Arabidopsis thaliana: one gene and its partner. The protein of the gene in region 1 interacts with the protein of each later gene in a pairwise test. Each region holds a gene or a part of one and is shown in the gene's direction. Other genes may lie near its edges.

The links.
Region 2: the proteins of AtVEX1 (region 1) and AT4G34220 interact in a protein complementation assay, tested with the Arabidopsis thaliana proteins (one large-scale study listed by BioGRID).

The regions. Positions count from the first base shown.
Region 1 is NC_003076.8:25,228,408-25,235,173, reverse strand, and holds AtVEX1 (Nodulin MtN3 family protein), read left to right. Parts: upstream 1-3,329; 5' UTR 3,330-3,646; coding exon 3,647-3,689; intron 3,690-3,782; coding exon 3,783-3,819; intron 3,820-3,889; coding exon 3,890-4,106; intron 4,107-4,328; coding exon 4,329-4,490; intron 4,491-4,506; exon of another isoform or gene 4,507-4,606; intron 4,607-4,620; coding exon 4,621-4,740; coding exon of another isoform or gene 4,741-4,803; exon of another isoform or gene 4,804-4,826; coding exon 4,827-4,970; 3' UTR 4,971-5,236; downstream 5,237-6,766. Other genes in the region: AT5G62865 (uncharacterized protein), read right to left, coding at 607-1,110; AT5G62860 (F-box associated ubiquitination effector family protein), read right to left, coding at 1,633-2,133, 2,387-2,542; AT5G62840 (Phosphoglycerate mutase family protein), read left to right, coding at 5,502-5,731, 6,030-6,275, 6,381-6,462, 6,543-6,766. UniProt on the Arabidopsis thaliana protein: Mediates both low-affinity uptake and efflux of sugar across the plasma membrane. May play roles in nurturing the male gametophyte.
Region 2 is NC_003075.7:16,378,827-16,386,786, reverse strand, and holds AT4G34220 (Leucine-rich repeat protein kinase family protein), read left to right. Parts: upstream 1-2,318; 5' UTR 2,319-2,732; coding exon 2,733-4,413; intron 4,414-4,541; coding exon 4,542-5,134; 3' UTR 5,135-5,314; downstream 5,315-7,960. Other genes in the region: AT4G34215 (carbohydrate esterase, putative (DUF303)), read left to right, coding at 5,595-6,185, 6,393-6,584; SK11 (SKP1-like 11), read right to left, coding at 7,326-7,784.

The DNA.
Region 1 (6,766 bases):
TAAATCGTTATGTAGTTCCTTAATAAATTGAGAGAAACGAAAAAATGTATTTGAATGTTTTGATCAATGATCGTCATTCGTTTATGGCTTCCAATAGAAAGGTTTGAAGTTTGAATTGGGAAAAGTGTTGTTGGTTCATTACATACTACCCCAAACGATTGATAGTTTCTTCTCTTTACTCGGCTTTAACGGTAACTATATCTTTGGAAAACAGAAAAGTTTTTGAGTGGAATTTTAAAAATGAGTATAGATTATAAAAATAAAGAAATCATGTCAAGCAACCATGATTAACTAAATCATTACTTCCACATATGCTAAACAGCTAATTTACATAAAATTATATTATATTAGCCACAACAAGTTCAATATCCCCTCAAAAAAGAAACAAAATATTGCTTCTCTTTCAAGAAACATAAAATTTGGTTGATAAATAAATTAATTAAACTGGGAAAATAATAAAATTAATTCAAAGTTGATTATATAAACAGAATGATTAAATAAGAAAACGCGACAGACTCCAAAAACGATGTAAACCAAACCAGTCAACCATTTTGACAGCCTTTTCCCCGCCGCCAGAAACGCAAACGCGTTTCTCACACGCGCCCACTAACTTTCAATGATCTCATTACGCGGCGTCAACGCAGACAACGACGTCGGCGAAATCGCCGGAGCTTTACCTGAGTAAACCGGGACAGAAGCGAATCGGGTCGAGAAGCTTCGTAATCCACCTAGTCCGACGTATTCATCCTCCTCGTCGTCGTCATCGAAGTTCAAAGAGTAACTCAAAGGATCGTATTGAAACTTCTCGCTTGCGTCCCAATCGCGGCCGCGTCGTGGATCGCGATTGAATCGACGAATGAAAGTCTTCCACCGTGGACCAGCAACGATTTCTGACCACTCTCGGATCTTCAAGGATGCTCGGATCCACCAACGTGGCTCGTCGCCGTGGTCGCCGCTGTGATTACTGTCATCGACGGTTCGAATTCGTCCCCAGGAGGAGTAACCAACGGCGGTGGAGCTTCTTGATCGGCGGAAGCTGGGGAAACAACAGCAACGTTGATCGTACCGGGTATCAGGATCTCGGGTTGGGTCCGACTGCGAAAGTTCCATGGGCCGAAACTCAGAGAAGTTTTTTCTTGGGTCAAAAGACTCGTGATGATAATATAACTTGATTCAAGTTTTAGCTGTAAAGGATTATGATTGGTCCTATTTATTATATGCACACTTGACACTTGTAATATAAATTAAGAAATTGTTATTTTTTCTATGTTATTATATGCACACTTGACACTTTTACGAATCATGGCTGTAAATATTAAAACCTTAGAAACTCAATTATCGATCAACACGATTGAGAATCATAAAAAGTGTTAAACAATTTCTTAGGCTGGTGAAAACGAGTCTTAGAAAAAATAAATATCTTGAGCTAGAATCCGTTATAAGATAGTTACTTTCCTAACAATGTTTTTAGGAATACACTTGATAAAACAAAATTGATATTTATTATAAAAACTACTATTCACTAAGGGAACGAGTTGAACAAATGTGATCCGGCGGGTACAACAAACTAACATTTCGGATCATAGTACGAGGGGTACAAAGATTGAGCAGATGTCACTGTCTTTGGCATTATCACAATCTCACCATTAGGACTGACACCAGCGATGCAATACCTAATTTCTCAAATATCATCATCTTAGACCATTCTTGTTGCTCAATATGATCTTCCATAATCCACATCTCTGCACTAGCTTTGGTGTAACGTATGCATCCTAATTTTCCTTGGTAGTTTACCAAAGTCAATTCATCGAAACTCACTTCACTGAGCTGCTGATTCATCTGCAGAGTTATGGGCATCTGAATACGATCAAAGCTTTCGTGTCTAACGTCGAACCTCACTAGCTCATAGAATTCGGGATCATCCCAGCTTTCTACATGTGCTATGTAATAGATAAACTCTTTGATACATAAACCACTACTCCTAGCTTCTGGAGAGTGATTCCAAATGCCTTGGATGTCAAGGCTCCTCCATTGCTGCTTCATTGGACCTCCCACTAATGTGAAAACTTGTTTCTCAACTGGATCATATCCGAACAATCCATCACACGAGTTGCTCCATCTATCGTGTTTTACCTCCGGTAATAAAATCGTTTTCCTATTGGTATGTTTATAGATCGAGCTTGACCAACAACAGAAGAGTCCTCGAAAATTATTGATACTTAAAATCCCAACTTCGCCCATGGTTTAATGTATAATTACTGTCTTTGTCTGGGTATATGAATGATATATCATTAGTAGGATAAGTAGAGGGCGAGAATAATGACCGAGTCATGATCAAGAGGGTGATACGAGATGACCACAGCTTCGATACACATTGGAACCTCACAAGTGACTTAACAGGGAGTCTCGAGAGTATATCGGTTATTACATCGAAAGGGATATGTATACCGTTTGAATTTTCTCTCTCGGAGATTTCGTTCTGACGTTGTTGTCGTCGTTTTGGAGATCGTGAGGTCTTCTTCTCTTGGCGTCCTCTCTTCATGGTGTCAGTTTTCTATTTCATTAAACTTGAACGAAGAAAAACACATATATATTTTTGGTTTTTGACATTTTTTGGGGGTTTATGACATTTGTTTTTTTGGATATTTTCTATATATTGGCAATACAAAAGAGTTTATAAGCTAAGCAGCCCAGTTTCATGTCCCATTAGGTTTTAGATCTCAAGTCTTAACCGACCTACATTTAAAGGGAAAACATTAAGAAACAATGAGAGATTAATTTAGTATTTTCGATTGATGCGCCTCACACTGAAACCTGAGGCTTGTGTGTTCTGTTTCTCTTCATCTTGATTCAATTCGTTTGCAGTTTCGTAGCTTGATGAGAAAGGAATATTAAGTGATTCATATATAGCAAAGTGTTTACATAGTAAACCTAAAAAGAGAGTAAAACTAAAATCTCTTCTCTTTATTCATCAATACAAGTTGCTATTAACAAAGTTTTTGGTTACAGCACATATTCACTTGCTTTGTATTATTGTATATACTATACAAGATGCTCTACACAACATTTACTATGACATGAATATGAGACAACAAACTCTTTATACATAATGAAGATGTAGTAATAGTAAATGTAATTATGTTTGAGAAAGAGAAAGAGAGAGAGAGAGAGAGACAGAGGTATTAATGTGAGTGAAGAGCCGGGTGTTTCTCATGCATGGGGTACGAGCGGAGTCAACGGCTTCATGGCTCAAATTTGAAACCACGTGTCATGCGTTTGTTACTCTACCCAGATTCTGCTGATTCACAGACTCACTATTAAAATCCACTTTTTCTTTTTTCTCTGTTCATAAAGCAGAAACCAAAAATAATCCAAATATCAAAAAACCAAAAACAGAACCTAGAAACCACACCAAAAAAAAAAAAGCTATTTCATCAAACAAACAAAACTCACATCACAAATCAGAAACAAACAAAAAAGAAACGCAGTACTAAAGAAAAAAATTATAAACAAGAATCATCGAAAAGAAGAATCGAAATCATCAACATATTTTGTTTCTCTTCTTCTTTTATTTTTATAAAATATAAATTAGTTCTTTGATAAAATCTGTAGAAGATAAAGAATTCTTCTTTAGAAACAAAGAAAAATGACGGACCCCCACACCGCCCGGACGATCGTCGGAATCGTTGGTAAGTCCTCCACAATTTACTCAAACATAAAGTTTAATTCAATCAACAACAAAAACATTTGCTCATGTCTTTGTTTGTCTGTTATATGTTTAGGAAACGTGATTTCTTTCGGCTTGTTCTGCGCTCCAATGTAAGCACACATGATGATTAAATCTTTTTTTGTTTTGTTGCATGCAATGACATATGTGAAAATTGTGCAGACCAACGATGGTGAAGATATGGAAGATGAAATCGGTCTCCGAGTTTAAGCCAGATCCATACGTAGCTACGGTTTTAAACTGCATGATGTGGACATTTTACGGACTTCCTTTCGTCCAGCCCGACAGTCTCCTCGTCATCACCATTAATGGAACTGGTCTTTTCATGGAACTCGTTTACGTCACCATCTTCTTTGTCTTCGCTACCTCCCCTGTCCGCGTAAGCCTTTAAAACCTCTAATTTCAACACGAATGATAAAAATATGTATATGCATTCTAAATTATTCAATTTATATAAACTTTTCAGACATAGGTTTGATAGCCTTTAAACCAATTGAAAATTAGTGAATTAGTGGTTGATGTTTGTTTTAGTTTGTTACTTCAAATGTAGATCGATATAGATTTTGATATGTGAAGTTATGATATATATATATGTGTACAGAGAAAGATCACAATAGCTATGGTTATCGAGGTAATATTCATGGCGGTGGTGATCTTCTGCACAATGTATTTTTTGCATACAACAAAGCAGAGATCAATGCTTATTGGGATCTTGTGCATTGTTTTCAACGTCATCATGTATGCTGCTCCTCTCACCGTCATGGTATGATGCCTCTTCTTTCTAAACTAATCACGGAAATGCAAAAATTGGATACTACACTATCAACTTTTTTCTTTTGTTCTCTTTATCTCGTGAATTTCCATTTAATGAGTTTAGTTATAATGTGGAACAGAAACTTGTGATAAAGACAAAGAGCGTGAAATACATGCCGTTCTTCCTATCATTAGCCAACTTCATGAACGGTGTCGTTTGGGTCATTTATGCATGTCTTAAATTTGACCCTTATATTTTGGTAAACCCTCATATATATCTTTATTGTTTGGAACTCAAATCCCTACATCTCAAAAAGGACTAATTATCTTCCATGCATGAAAACAGATTCCAAATGGTCTTGGATCGCTATCAGGAATAATCCAGCTTATAATATACATAACTTACTATAAAACAACTAACTGGAACGATGACGATGAAGATAAAGAAAAGCGCTATTCGAATGCTGGAATCGAACTTGGCCAGGCTTGATAGTTTCAGCTATTTCATCGTCTACGGTGCTTCATCGATAGGTTAAGATAGAATCAGAAGTGAGGTGAAGTTCTTATTACTATTATTTTGTGTAAGCCTATGTAGAAAAAAAATGAACAAGTGGAACCCTTAAGTTATGAAGTTTCTTGTGTATGAAGAAATGGGTTTTCAGTTTTTTTTTTTGGAAATGATTGTAACTTTCGCAAGTTGAATCTATGTACGTTGTTACAATTTTAGTTTTAATCGAAGTTTATTAGATTACTTTTATAACATTTTCTTTTTTGGAAACTGTAAGGAAAGAAACAAATTTGTCCTCTTAAGAGCAGAGTAATAAACAGAGTTTCTCTCTTGTTTTAGGTTTTTTTTTTGGTCCTGACCGGTTAAGAATATTTCCGAGAAAGTTACCGGTTTAGCTGATTCGATTTTAAAAACGAACCCATAATCTAAACCGGAATGTGCGATTCACAATTGTGGTTTTGTAACCTTAAAACACGGAGGACCAGAGATACCGTTTGAGATGACGATTGAATTATGTTATCATCATCACCGGCGGTCACCACCGCCTCACACTTACATCCTCCTCCGTCGCCGGAAACCTACCAAATTCCTCTGAATTTACTTTCCTCGCCGCATATTACCCGCCGAGACCTTTTCAAAACTCTCTCCGTATGTATTGCCACACCATCACTCTCCGTCTCCATCGCCGCACCAGCTAACGCACGCGGTCTCTTTCAAATGCCGCCTCTCCGGCTCTCTAATCGGTAATTTACTTTTTCAAAACCCTAGTTTTGAGTTTCTGTGCATACAACCAGATGTGCATCAATGTATACGTATCTTCGTCCTTTTGATTGGAACTAAGTTTAAAGGATCTTGTAAAGCTTTAGTAGATTAGTGAGATTCCAAATTCTTCACATTGAACTGTTAAGAGTGAATCTCTGACTTTTAACATTTTGATTCTTGTTCTTGATTCGTTTCCGGAGTTATTTAGCCTGGTTATCTTAGAAAATGGAGCTAATAATACACAATGTGTTTTTGGTTGTTGTTTTTTCTTGGATCAAGTTATTACCTTGTGAGAGCTGGGGAATCAGATTACGAAAGCTTAGGGATAATCAACACAAACCCGGTTGCCAAAACATCGGTAGATAGCGGATTATCAGAGAAAGGTAAGAAGCAGACTCTGAGAGCTGCGTTACAGTTAAAAGCAATGGGAGCTTGTGACCGAAACTGTTGGCTCTGGCCTTCCATAACACAGAGAGCTTATCAGGCTGCTGAAATCATCGCCGCCATCAATGGAATTAGTCGCAGGTAAAATCGTCCATTAGTCTTCTTACTCTTTAGTGAGGTTTTAGCTGTGGAATCTAATCTTTGTGATGGTACGCTGAATGTTTTATGTTCACTTGGTTTTCGCAGCTATATAGTTCCGGAGTATAGCTTCCTTGATGCTCGTGGTTTAGGAGCTTACGAAGGCAAGAAGCTTGAATCTATATCAGAAGTAAGATTTTAGCATTTTTCACATTAAAACATACAAACAAAAACTCGGGTTGAAGTATGAAAGTTTCAACTTCTGTGCAGGTGTATGCATTAGACTCAATATCGATGAAGACAAAACCTCCTCCTATAAGCGACGGTACCCCCAACGAGAGTGTATCAGATGTATTTGTGCGTGTGACGCAACTCATGTCTATTCTCGAGACTCAATACTCAGAAGACACAATCGTGATTGTTTCGCCTGATTCAGACAACTTATCGGTGTTACAAGCTGGTATCCAAGGACTCGACCTTCGAAGGCACTCGGA
Region 2 (7,960 bases), on another chromosome or scaffold:
TAAAAGATATAATGATATTGGATTTCTAATCATGAATCATATGATATATGTGTTAAAATATTTGCCCTTATGTCGGGTTTGAGTCTTACTATATGAAACACAATTCTTCGGACTAAAAACAGTGACTGAAAGCGAAATCCAACTACAAAGTACGACTTGCATATTATATTTTATTCGTTAATATTTGTAAGCTGTGGTATAAGAAACTTGATGCGAGTGTTTGGTCCTTGAATCTTTTACAATAGTATGCATCGTTGACGATTTCATGTTTATCAAAGTGAGTGGTAGGTTAAGGAAGACTAATTTAGATGTACGACCGTTGATTATAATTTTTTCATGTATAAATGTTGATACACAATTGGTGGTGCAAATTGAAATTACAAATGTGTGCAACTTAGTCAAATGCTTAGTTGGTAGATAAAGAGATGTCTCTTGGTGCTATGTCAGAACCTCTATTGGACCAGACAAGAGAGCATGGCGTGGATATTTATATTTGAAGTCGATAATTCGTTACCCTTTTGGGCTTTATATACGATTCCCTCTTCTTTACAATAAGTGGTTGGATGATTGTTTAATATTTCTAAAATTTCAGATTAGAAAAAAAAAAAAAAAAGAGAATTCAAAAACAATTTAAAGAATAAAACACTATACATCTACCAGCTATGAGGAGTCCATAACTAAGATATAGAGTAATATGTTGGATCTGTGTCAAAACAAATATTTTTTCTCAGATCATTCTTTAAGTACAATCTGACCATCATTCTTGACGTATATAATATGTGCAGAGTTCTTGGGATTCACTAACGTTGTCATCATGGCATATTCATGAAATATGTCGACAGATTAAATCCGCTTAAGATCATATTTTATAGCTATAGTCAAATATTTAAGATCCATTGTCTACAATAAAAGATGACATTATCTTTTATGGGGTATCAGATCGGCCATAGGCACATTATTAGCTATCAGCCTCCGACCAAAAAAACCAAGGCATTGAATGGATGTATATAACTATATAACTTTACAGCTTTTGGTTTATAGATGAGACGTTTACACTGGGGTAAGGATGAAGTGAAAACGAAAAAAAAAAACATTAGACCTAAAAAAAAACAAGAAAGAGAATGAATATACTTTATAGATTGTATAAACGACATCAACCCGTGATCGTTACGTCTAGGACCAGCCAGATGAATATACTTTATAGATTGTATTTTTTACTTACGTCCAAAAAATCTTATCTTATGTGTTTTAGAAATTGACTAGGTTTAATCCCCATCATATCCATAGGCCCCTTTTATAATGCACATGTGAGATTCTTAATGATCACCATTTAAACTTTCTCCGCGTTTACACAAATTACGTATCTTAAATAACTAACACTCAACTAAAGCCTTTGATGAATATTATTATTATGCTACTTATACACGACAAGAAATTGTCCTAACTACCTACTTGTTGCGAATGAAGCAAGCAAATATGTATTAAGATAATTTATGTTTATGCCTAATTATTATCTTAATCAACAAACTATAATTTACAAAATTGTTTTGTGTGACTGTTGCTCTCTCGGACAACACTCGTTTATTTCGCATCAATTATTCTCATTCTTATGTGACTCACTCAAAACCAAATAAGATGGACCACTTCGAGCCTTGTTTCTGTTATATATTCGTCCACAGGCTACACTGAAAGCGATGCGGTCATAGCCCATTCTCTCGTCGCTTTCATGTTTGTTCTCCAAACCTTTTTTTTTCTCCTTGATTGTGCTACTGCTTTGGCTTCTTTCAATTCTTAGATATTTTTAATTTTATTTTCAGCTATAACTTCATTTAATATGGCTAAATAGTTTTCTTGGTTTAGAGTCTTTAGACTAAGGAATAATTTCATGACCATATTTTTAACTTTTCGATTTTCGAAAGATTCAGTTTAGGCCTAACTCAGTTTGCCAACTTGTGTAGTGTGTGAACAATTTACACAAAAATCAAACTCTGCAAGGTCATTTTTCCAAAATTTTGATTATTAAAAAAATAAAAAAAAAGATGAGGATAACTGACATGTCAGTTTTGTGGTGTCCCTTGTTTTGTCTTTGATTAATGTATGGTTCATTTCATACGAGACCCTCTGTTTTGGCAAACCTATAACGGGTTTTCTCTTATAAGTTCTAAGATGAGAAAGTACTACATTGAGATATAATTACTCAATTACATACTGTACTTAGTCGTAATAATAGTCGGTGATTATCCTTTTAAACTTTCTATGGACCGAAATGTTCCAGAAAAAAAATGCAATAGTTTAGACTTTTAACTTTATTTTATTAGCTTTTCTTCATGTAAACCAAAAATAACCCAAAAGCAAGCGGTAATAATTATTCTGTCCCCCATGAATTGCTTTTACTTTAGTGAATGAAGTAGATTTTAAATGCGAAAATATGGCTGCTGCTGCTCATTTACAGTTTTACACTAATGAATAAATATGATCAAGAATCATTGATTCTACACCTTGTCCCATGTCAAGTCTAGTCAAAAGCTTATTTTATCAACTCCGGCTCTTTAAGATTCTCTCTCTCTCTCTCTCCTTCACCATCTCAGAGATTGCTCCACTATCTCATAGATTTGGTGACCAGAACAACTTATCTCTTGAGTGGTTCAACCTCTATCTCTCTCTCTTTCTGCCATGAAAATGCAAAGCCAAATGTAATAGTTAGAGAGGGAGAAACCAAGAACTGAAAGACCATGACTTCCAACAGAAGCAACCTCCTGTTCTCATTAGTCCTCTTCCACTTTCTTTTTGTCCCCACACAACTCCAAGCTCTTAACACTGATGGTGTTCTTCTGCTTACTTTCAAATACTCCATCCTCACTGACCCTCTCTCTGTTCTACGCAATTGGAACTATGATGATGCAACACCATGCTTGTGGACAGGTGTCACATGTACAGAGCTTGGGAAGCCTAACACACCAGACATGTTCAGAGTCACAAGCTTGGTACTTCCCAACAAACACCTTTTGGGTTCCATCACTCCGGACTTGTTCTCGATTCCATATCTAAGGATCTTGGATCTGTCTAGCAATTTCTTCAACGGGTCACTCCCGGACTCGGTGTTCAACGCCACTGAGCTTCAGAGTATCTCCCTTGGAAGCAACAATCTCTCTGGTGATTTGCCCAAGAGTGTCAACAGTGTGACTAATCTCCAGCTCTTGAATCTCTCAGCTAACGCATTTACTGGCGAAATTCCGCTCAACATCTCACTTCTGAAGAATCTAACGGTCGTTTCCTTGTCAAAAAACACCTTTTCAGGTGATATTCCAAGTGGTTTCGAAGCAGCACAGATTCTTGATCTTTCTTCAAATCTTCTCAACGGCTCTCTTCCCAAGGATTTGGGAGGAAAAAGCCTGCATTACTTGAACTTATCACACAACAAAGTCCTCGGCGAGATTTCTCCAAATTTTGCAGAGAAGTTTCCAGCAAATGCCACAGTCGATCTCTCCTTTAACAACCTCACAGGCCCAATCCCAAGTTCCCTTTCTTTACTTAACCAAAAGGCTGAGTCTTTTTCCGGTAACCAAGAGCTTTGTGGGAAGCCATTGAAGATCCTTTGTTCAATTCCTTCCACTCTTTCAAACCCTCCAAATATCTCTGAAACTACTTCACCAGCAATAGCAGTTAAACCAAGAAGTACAGCTCCAATAAACCCTTTGACAGAAAAACCAAATCAGACAGGAAAAAGCAAGCTAAAGCCAAGCACCATTGCCGCAATCACAGTTGCAGATATAGTTGGTCTAGCTTTCATTGGTCTACTCGTGCTCTACGTATACCAAGTCAGGAAACGCAGAAGGTACCCAGAATCTAGCAAATTTAGCTTCTTCAAGTTCTGTCTGGAGAAAAACGAAGCCAAGAAATCGAAACCAAGCACCACTGAGGTCACAGTCCCAGAATCACCAGAGGCCAAAACGACATGCGGTTCATGCATTATCTTGACCGGAGGAAGGTACGACGAGACATCGACATCAGAGAGCGACGTAGAGAATCAACAAACCGTTCAGGCATTCACTCGAACAGATGGTGGGCAACTGAAGCAGAGCTCCCAAACTCAATTGGTTACAGTCGACGGCGAGACTCGGCTAGATCTAGACACTCTGCTAAAGGCATCTGCTTACATATTGGGAACCACCGGAACCGGGATCGTGTATAAGGCGGTGCTGGAGAACGGCACGGCATTCGCGGTGAGGCGGATCGAGACGGAGAGCTGTGCGGCTGCGAAACCCAAGGAATTCGAGAGGGAGGTTCGTGCCATCGCTAAGCTTCGTCACCCAAATCTCGTCAGAATTCGTGGGTTCTGCTGGGGAGACGACGAGAAACTTCTCATTTCCGATTATGTTCCCAATGGCAGCCTCCTCTGTTTCTTCACCGCCAGTAAGTTCCTCTGTTTCTGTAAGCGCACGAAAAAAAAAACACAGTATCATATCTAAAATACGCAAGTCATTTGGTACACATTAGCACTCTAAAATACGCATCACTGTTTTTTTGTCCTTCACAAACAGCTAAGGCAAGCTCAAGCTCATCTTCTTCGTCGTCATTACAAAACCCTCTTACTTTTGAAGCACGGCTCAAGATAGCAAGAGGAATGGCTAGAGGACTATCTTACATCAATGAGAAGAAACAAGTGCACGGTAACATCAAGCCCAATAACATTCTCTTGAACGCTGAGAATGAGCCCATCATCACCGATTTAGGGCTAGACCGCCTCATGACACCAGCGCGTGAATCTCACACCACTGGACCAACTTCGAGCTCACCGTACCAGCCACCGGAATGGTCCACAAGCCTGAAACCAAACCCTAAATGGGACGTTTACTCCTTTGGCGTCATACTTTTAGAACTTCTCACAAGCAAAGTGTTCTCGGTAGATCATGATATAGATCAGTTCTCAAACTTATCCGACTCTGCAGCGGAAGAGAATGGCCGGTTCTTGAGGTTAATCGACGGTGCAATTAGGAGTGATGTCGCTCGCCATGAGGATGCTGCAATGGCGTGCTTTAGGTTAGGGATTGAATGTGTCTCTTCCTTGCCTCAGAAGCGACCATCCATGAAAGAATTGGTGCAAGTGTTGGAGAAAATTTGTGTTTTAGTTTGATTTCTTAATTCGTATAGCCTAAGTCGTTTTGGCAATATAGAAAGTTATGTGTTATGTATGTTTTAGATGTGTTGCTTAATGCTTACTTTACCCTCGCATAATACTAACTCTTACTTTAGAGTTTAGAATGTGTTTCACTGTTTTGTTATGTTATATCACAACCAAAAAGCTATATAAAAATTAGAATCTTAACCGATGAAGCCAATTAAACCAACACAACGGGAATCACTTAAAATTAACTCGGTCTAACTTCCTAACCAAACTTTTAAACAGACCGACCCAAACCGGACCAAGATTCTAGTGTCCACGCCTCAACATCATCTTCTCCGATCAACTCTGATGCTCACCCCACCAAACTTTACTTTCTATTCAGACAAGACATCTCGATAGCTTATTTCTATGGTCTGATCACACGATAGTGTATTCTGATATCATCACTCTACCAAAGAGATACCAAATTATGGAAGGAGGATCTATCACTCCCGGTGAAGATAAACCGGAGATCCAATCTCCAATTCCACCAAATCAGATCTTCATACTCTCTGGACAAAGCAATATGGCAGGACGCGGCGGCGTCTTCAAAGACCACCACAACAATCGCTGGGTGTGGGATAAAATCCTTCCACCGGAATGCGCACCAAACTCATCGATCCTCCGCCTGTCCGCAGATCTCCGGTGGGAAGAAGCACACGAGCCACTACACGTTGACATTGACACAGGTAAAGTGTGTGGAGTAGGTCCAGGAATGGCGTTCGCTAACGCGGTGAAGAATCGCCTGGAAACAGATTCGGCTGTGATCGGGTTGGTGCCGTGCGCTTCCGGTGGAACGGCGATAAAAGAGTGGGAGCGTGGAAGCCACTTGTACGAGAGGATGGTCAAGAGAACGGAGGAGAGTAGGAAATGCGGCGGAGAGATCAAGGCGGTGTTGTGGTATCAAGGAGAGAGTGACGTGTTGGACATCCATGACGCCGAGAGCTACGGGAACAATATGGATCGTTTGATTAAGAACCTCCGTCATGATCTCAACCTTCCTTCTCTTCCCATTATTCAGGTCTCTCTATCCTTTGTGCGATTTTAGCTTCCAATGTCACATCTACATAGGTTGTGACGTTGTGTTATTGGTGAAAGAGTTAAGTTGCAGATTATGTAATTTTAGGCTTTTACAATGTACATATCAGTTGTTGCAAGTGATTTTGTCTTTTAGAAATCGGTAGGTCAGATTTCCATTGGTTAATCTTGATGGTTTTGATTGAAGCAGGTGGCAATAGCATCGGGAGGAGGATACATAGATAAGGTGAGAGAAGCACAGTTGGGACTGAAACTGTCGAATGTGGTCTGTGTAGATGCTAAGGGATTGCCGCTAAAGTCCGACAATCTTCACTTAACCACCGAGGCTCAAGTCCAGCTTGGTCTCTCCTTAGCTCAAGCTTACCTTTCCAACTTCTGCTAGACAATCAAGTAAGTTCGTGATAAGGTTCATGAATCTTTCTGAATGTGTGTGGTGGACTAGTTATATGGATATCACAAAACTTTGTAATAATGGATTGGTAAAACATTGATGTTCATAGTGAAGAACAATTAGTTTGCTCTAGATACTGGTGGATTCTGAAATCGATCTAAAATATTATTAGCAGCTCTGTTTTAGTCCTTCGTTCATTATAACTCTAGGATCAATTGAAGTTACGAATAATGATATCGTTGCACTCCACTATACATAAGTATATTTCATAGACTAGAAAGTCAAATAAAACCATAGAGAAGTTTAATGTTGTATTGGTGATGGATAATTGTTTTTGTCAGGTTGACGATCGGGTATTGGTGAGAAATTGTGGTATTTTCAGTGTGTTCTAGCAGTTTAATGTTTGTTTGTCTACATCTCCCAAGAGGTGATATGCAGTCTAAGTGATGGACGATGGTACTGATTATATGTAAATTTGTTATCCATGTAGAGCACACATAATATTCTTTCCGTTTGTCACATTATTATCTACATTGCAACTACTAATAGACATGGCCGATAACTTTCCTACGGATTAGTCATTCATGGTTCAAGTTTTTTTCTCATAAAAAGAAACACAAATCATAATAAAGATGTAGACAAAGTTATCATAATCGATCAAGACGTTAAAAAGAAAACACTAAAAAACGAAAAAAAGAAAAAGAAAGCTAGTTAGGGTTTTGATTCATGGGCTCATTCAAAAGCCCATTGATTCTCCTTACGAACAGCTTCTTCTTCCTCAGGTGTAAAATCATTCTCAATGTTGAAAGTTGAACGAATCTCCTCTGGAGTCTTGCCTTTGATCATGTCCGCAACAGTTTGGCATGTGAGATCAAGCAAGCTTTTTATGTTGAGGTAATTCGCAGCAAGGATGAGTTCAAAGATGGTGGATTGTTCGAGATCCATGAACTTCTCGTCCCAGTTGTTGAGATCCTCTTCAGAGATAGGATTAGCCTCGTCGACGTGGTGTTTCTTGCAGTACTCGATCACTTTCACAAGAATCTTGCTTTCCACGTTTGCAAGAGGGATTCCATCAGCAACGCAATCGTCTTCAACCATATGCGCTATGGTCTGCGATTGGATTGCTACCGCTTCTTCCACCTCAAACGACTGACCATCGGAGCTCATCAACACGATCATCTTCGAAGACATTGTGTGTTCCTTGTGGAGGAGGTTTTTCACTGTGAAGCAAATTTGATGAAAGATTTAAGAATTTAGAGAGCGAACAAATTGTGTTAAGGTGATGAAGTTGTGAAACCCTATGCGTCTTTGTATTTATAAGCCCTAGCTAGAGTCGGTGACAACAACATATTATAATTCAACGCGTG